Callithrix jacchus: one gene and its partner. Each later gene encodes a partner of the first gene's protein in a complex. Links are inferred from orthologs where the notes say so. Each region holds a gene or a part of one and is shown on either strand. Other genes may lie near its edges. The genes, in order: WDPCP and FUZ.

What was found.
Region 2: the proteins of WDPCP (region 1) and FUZ are in contact, whole or in part, in a cryo-EM structure (PDB 7Q3D), measured with the Homo sapiens proteins. The link is inferred for Callithrix jacchus from reciprocal best matches to the Homo sapiens genes WDPCP and FUZ. Residues at the interface, in NP_056994.3 of Homo sapiens: Arg55, Ile57, Asn75, Lys78, Leu82, Glu418, Asp419, Arg420, Leu421; in NP_079405.2 of Homo sapiens: His293, Glu372, Glu373, Pro374, Arg379, Gln397, Pro399, Thr400, His401, Gly402, Ser405, Leu406.

The regions. Positions count from the first base shown.
Region 1 is NC_133515.1:50,656,232-50,660,058, forward strand, and holds part of WDPCP (WD repeat-containing and planar cell polarity effector protein fritz homolog), read left to right. Parts: intron 1-1,704; coding exon 1,705-1,893; intron 1,894-3,827. UniProt on the Homo sapiens protein: Probable effector of the planar cell polarity signaling pathway which regulates the septin cytoskeleton in both ciliogenesis and collective cell movements.
Region 2 is NC_133523.1:43,582,485-43,585,021, reverse strand, and holds the end of FUZ (protein fuzzy homolog), read left to right. Parts: coding exon 1-37; intron 38-114; coding exon 115-179; intron 180-258; coding exon 259-333; intron 334-1,095; coding exon of another isoform or gene 1,096-1,112; exon of another isoform or gene 1,113-1,332; coding exon 1,333-1,556; 3' UTR 1,557-1,840; downstream 1,841-2,537. Other genes in the region: AP2A1 (AP-2 complex subunit alpha-1), read right to left, coding at 1,957-2,034, 2,454-2,537. UniProt on the Homo sapiens protein: Probable planar cell polarity effector involved in cilium biogenesis. May regulate protein and membrane transport to the cilium.

The DNA of each region.
Region 1 (3,827 bases):
ACTCAATGATTTTTTTTTTTTTGCTTACATATTCTCTTGATTAGTAAAAGTGAAGCAATCTGCAATTATCATTTTATTGATTGATTGATTGATTGAAACAGACTTACTCTGTCACCCAGACTGTAGTGCAGTCGTGCAATCTTGGCTTACTGCAGCCTCCATTTCCCAGATGCAAGTGATTCTCCTGTTGTAGCCTCCTGAGTAGCTGGGATTACAGTCACCTGCCACCATGCCTGGCTAATTTGTGTATGATGTTACGCCATGTTTGCCAGGTCCGTCTCGAACATGTGCTCACAAGTGATCTGCCCGCCTTGGCCTCCCAAAGTGCTGGGATTACTGGCATGAGCTACCACTTCTGGCTACCAATTATAATTTTAGATTTAGCTTTTTCTTTTTTTTAATTCTGTCAATTTTTGCTTTATTATTTCACAGCTCTGTTATTAGGTGCATTTAAGGATTGTTAATCTTTCTTCATGAATTTTGAATCATATTTATAAAGGTATAGAATTCTAGATTAATTTACTTTTTATCTCTCAGTAGTTTAAAAATGTCTTGTTATTTTCCTTTGGATTATATAATTTTAGATGGAAAGTCTATAATCATTCATGCCTTTGCTTTTCTGTACATCCAATGTATTTTTTTTTCTTGTGGTTGCCTTTTAAGATTTTCTCTTTATCACCTTTCAGTGATTTTTATTATTATATGTTAGCTTTTCTTAATATATGAGTTCTTTCTCTTGTTACTAGTAGAAGCATTACTTAGGGTATAGGTAGAGTCAACAGACTTCAGATATTTTTGGTTTCCTGTAAAGTTCCTGTGCATTAATATCTACTGCCAAGGAACCACCCTGATTTATGAGGACTTCCAATGCTTGATTGCAGGCTCATGAAGGCTTTTGGACAGTCACATTCTTTGATTCTACCAACACAAAAGGAATAGTAAAGTTTTATTGCTTAGTACAGTCAGGGCAATTCCCCAGATTCCCTATCAAGTTCAGTCCTGTTAATAGTTAGTACAAGTTTTCATTTTCATGCGACTTGAAGTTAGTATGAAGAATTTTAACATCTTTCTCATAAATGAATACATTTTTAAAAATCCCGAAGCCTGTAACTATTCCAGTTAAATGATGATGATGATAATGATAGTAATAAAAAGAAATACAGTAATATTTTATAATACTTTGCAGCTTAGAAAGTAATTTCACATTTCTCATTTTCTTTTATGATTATTTGTACTGAGAGGAAGTTTTTTATACTTTAAATCAGTAAACAGTGAAGAAAAAAAAGATTTTATAGCCTACCTACAATTTTGAAAAGATTAAAAGCAAAACAAAACAAAAAACAAGTAAAACACCTAACAGCTCTAATACTTATTGTCATTTAATAGACAGAAATGATTAATTTCAAATGAGGTCAGCCATATTTAAAAGTCTATAAAACCAGAACAGATTGCTACCCCCAACCTTTGTTTTATGCTCATGTTCATGAGAGTAAAAGTGAATTTTCTTTCATTTTGACGGGATCAATAGATACGTTTGTGTTGTACCAGTGTATCTTATAGTAGATATTAGTTGAGAAAGAGATCAGTCCCACATTTCTAGCACTTATGCAAGCAATGCAGGTTTTTTTCTTTATGGAAAAGTTAACTTTTTGTTTTCCTACTTTTATTTAAGAGATTCACTTGGTTTTCCATGTTTTGTGACAGGTGTCTTCACTCAAGGACAGCTGGGCCTGGTAGATATCATTTTCCAGTACATTCACTGTGATAAGATCTATGAGGCAATAAACATCCTGAGCAGCATGAACTGGGACACTCTGGGCCACCAGTGCTTTATCAGCATGAGCGCCATTGTAAACCATCTTCTTAGACAAAAGCTCACTCCAGAGAGAGAAGGTCAGGCTTGAAATATTTTACTTAGATGTATTTTGTATATACATGAAATATATTTTATTAAATTGGTTATTTTTTAAGGTTGTTTTTGAATTATTTTATTGGAGATTACTTTAGTGCTCTAGTAAAACTCAAAGGATCAGATAACAGTTGATTGCTCCCATATGGTACTTATTGTATAGTATTTGTCAACATAAAAAACAGCTTTTCTGTTTATGCTTATGTTGGAACTCACAGTGTAGTCATTGTACCATTCTATCTTAAGATCAAGGATGTAATGTGCTCATAGTTCAAACGTTGACCAAAATTTTTATGTACTCCCTGAGATCTGCTAGACAAAGGGCACCCAACAAAGGTCTTTCATTCCTCACTCACATCAGACATCAGTTCTTTTTTCTCACACCCAAGTCCTCTGTCCAGACAATAGTCCTTAACACTTACTTTTTCTGTGTATCTGAATTGCAGCCCAGGCTGCTCCTTCTTATTTTCCTTATTCTGACTTATAGTTCTGACACTCTTCTCTTTTCTGCCTGCTTGAATTTCCTTACCTTTGCCCAATAAGTAATTTTGTCCATAGAGATCTAAGATGTTTAATTTTAAAAGAGAAGTGAAAAAAAAACAAAGGTCAGGGGATGGGGGCATTGGGGAATGCTGTGACACATACAATAATGAAATAAATCTTTATATTTGCCAATTATCTAGTCTTATTTTTCTTATAAGTTATTTACTCGATGTATAATACACCTAAGCAGTCTAACATTTGCATCTTACGTATGTTTGTGGTAAGCATTGACATTAATGGTGGAAAATCATGGCCAATGAGAAACTGTCCCTAGGTCATTTATAAGATAGGAAGAACAGGAAATATGTCAAAAGATCTTTACTTGGAGAGCTTTTCTTTTCTATTTTCTTTGCATTTTTATAGATTTTTCTTATCCCACTTTATTACATTGCCAAAATACAAAAGTTGTTTAGATAGAATTCTGTAGGTAATCTTCATTTTAGTAATTTTAGAGAAGAATAATTAGTAAGAACATGCTCTTCCAGGAAGTCTGTATCCAGGAAGTCACACATGGCCCACAGTAAATATTTATTTAATATTAATTGAATGTGCTTTTAGGAGGTAGTCAAAATTTAACTAAGGAACTTTGAATATATTTATTTATTTATTTAGAGACCAAATCTTGCTCTGTTGCTCAGGCTGGAGTACAGTGGCACAATATCGGCTCACTGCAATGTCTGCCTCCCAGGTTCAAGTAATTCTCATGCCTTAGCCTCCTGAGTAGCCAGGATTACAGATGTGCACCACTACGCTTGGCTAATTTTTGTGTTTTTAGTAGACAGGTTTCACTATGTTGCCCAGAGTGGTCTCGAACATTTGGCCTCAGGTGATCCACCTGCCTCAGCCTCCCAAAGCGCTGGAATTACAGCTGAGCACTGCACCCAGCCAAAAAATTCTAGTATTTTTACAATGAGAAAATGCCTAGTGCATGGCCCATACTTCGGTACTCAGTGAGTATTAGTTAAAAATAAAAAGAATATAACATCATAATTTTAGGATACAAGATACTACTATAATATTGCTGCTTACAGAGTTATCTTAACTAATTATTTATTAGCAATGATATACTGTAATGACTGGGTGCATACTTAAAAACAAACATAAAAAATTTTTAAAAGCGGAGTCCCTAACGAATGCTTATATTATACACAATCTATATAAGCAATCATAAATTTATACTTAAAGAAGAAATATGGAAAAGATAAAATATTGACTGAGCACACCAAGAAATTGCTAGTACCTTAGTGAATTTGTCTTGTAAGATGACTGTGTTATAGGAAAGATTATTAGGGAATACACAAATGGGCATCATCCGATTCTTGCTTTAATAAAGGATATTTTCAAGGAACCATATTGGGGAGATAGGGAAATAAAA
Region 2 (2,537 bases), on another chromosome or scaffold:
TGCCCAGTGGCTTCCCACTCCACACAGACATCCTCGGGTAGGGCTCGGATGGAGGGATTGTGTTGGGGATCATGTCCTCTTCCCTAGCCATGACATCCCTTCCCTTTCCCACAGGCTGCTGCTCCTCCATCTGGAACTGAAACGCTGCCTCTTCACTGTGGAGCCCTTGGGGAATAAAGGTGACTGAGGGCAGGGACAGGGTCAGGAGGGGCGCGGGCCGAGGAGGGGCTCTGCATCACTGCCTTTTCCTCCCCGCAGAGCCTTCCCCAGAACAGCGCCGGCGCCTCCTCCGAAACTTCTACACCCTGGTCACCTCCACGCACTTCCCACCAGGTGAGCGGCAGGCACAGTGCTACTGCGCAAGCAGGACACCGAGTCCCAGGTGGCACAAAGTGGGAGTAGGAGGTGGGGTTGGAGGAACCGGAGGAACCCAGCATGCCTGGGCCATGGGGCAGTGGTTTTCCTTGAGATCTGAGCATTGACCTGGAGAAGGGAGGGGAAGGGAAATTCCTGCCTGGCTTCAGAACCTCCTGGGTCATAGTTAACAATAATTAGTACTGAGATCTCACCTCTGGCCAGTGCCTTTATAGGTAATAAAAGAATGAAATTACTTCATCCCATCATTCCCATTTTACAGATGAGAAAACTGAGGCCCAGCTCATAAATGGTAGAGCCGTATTTGAACACAGGGTATCTGGCTCCCATAGCCACAGTCCAGTACTCTGCACTACTGCCGAAAGCACAGGCTTTGCTGACAGGCTGGGGGGGATGGGGGAGGATTTCACAGATTCTGGGTTAGAAAGGAAAAATTGTCATAGAACCCATTAAGGCCCCAGAGAGAAAAAGGAAGGGATCTGGGATGCCACCACGATCCCAGTGAGGCCCGATTAATGCAGCACAGTGGTCAAGAGCTCCATCTCAGGAGGCTGCACCCCTTCCTAGCTGTGTGACTCCACCTCTCCCTGCCCCTGCCGGCCTCCCTCCACCTGCCTGGAACAGTGGGGTGGGTAGCTCCTGGAGGCGGCTACTGGAGCTCCTGTGTTGCTGCTGTGTTTGCCATGTGTATTGCTAAGAGGATGGTCCATGGCTGCACAGTTTCCCCAGGAAAATGAGGGCCAAGGAAGAGAAAGAGGAAGAGGATGAGCTGAGCAAGAGTCATGGTCTTCAGGTTGCTGATGGCCAGCTGGAGCCCTGAAGCCCTTCCCTGGCAGGAGGCTCCCAAAGCCTGTGCTCAGAGACCCCACGTGTTCAGAACTTGGACCCAGGATGGGGTGTGGCTTCCGAAAGTTAGCATGCTACTTGTCACCTCGATGCCTCCTGTCCTTTCCCCAGAGCCAGGGTCACCAGAGAAGACAGAAGATGCGTTCCACCAGGCCCAGCTGCCCAGAGCCTGCTACCTGGTGGTAGGGACTGAGGAACCAGGCTCAGGAGTGCGTCTGGTGGCCCTGCAGCTGGGGCTTCGGCGGCTGCTGCTGCTGCTGTCTCCCCAGAGTCCCACCCATGGGCTGCGAAGCCTAGCTACCCACACTCTGCATGCCCTCACCCCACTTCTTTGACTACCTAGCAGTGGGTGACGGACAGACATGGGGCTGTTAGCGTCTCTCTGTTTTTATTCGCTCACAATAATACACAGCCCCTGGGTGGGGAGGGGGTAGGAGGGGCTATGACAGGGTGGGGTGGGAGGGGAGGAGGCATCCACTTCCCTGGCCCCTCTCCCCTCTGTGCTTGGGGGGGGGAAGGGAGGGAGGGGACTCCCCCTGATCCCCCAGAATGTAAACAGCAGCAGATGAACAAAAATAAAAATACAAAAGGCTGGAGGAAGGTCCCAGGCATCCCCCAACCCCTGGGTCTTCTCTGTCACCAGTGGAGGTCCCCCATCCACCTCATCCACCAAAGTTGCCTCAGTCCAAGGGGCTGCCCGGTGCCGGCCACATCCCGGGGGGCAGAGTCCAGGGCTCAGAACTGCTGCGCCAGCAGCTCACACAGGTGACGGGAGACAGACTCCTTGCTGGTGCGCAGGGTCAGCCGGTACATCTGGGTCGGGGCATTGGGGGCAGAACTCAGAGGGATGGGGAGCCCAGGGAAGTGGGGACACAAGGGAGATAGAAGAAAGAAGGATAAAGGGGCCAGAAAGCCGATACAAGACACAAGAGAGAAGAAAGAATGAAATCAACAGAGGAGCCAGAGAGGAGGGAAATTATAAAAGATGAGGGGGAGAGAACGGTGGAAAGGTAGAAATCAGGGAGGGATGGAAGAGGAAAGGAAGACCCAGAGGATGGAGGCAGGAGAGAAGATTGATGGATTAAAGAGGAGAAAAAGTGGACAAAGAGACGCAAGAAGAGGAGGGTTAAAGCGGGAAACGTGAATTAAAGAACAGTGAGGCAGGTGGGGTGCGGCGCAGAGGGGACAGGCAGCCTTCCTGCCGGCCTCAGGCCGCCTACAGCAGCACTCACCTGGGCCTGGGCGTTAGGCTCCAGCCGGAGCAGACAGCCCACCTGGAGGGCTTTAGTCTGGATGATCCCCGCCCCCACGAAGTT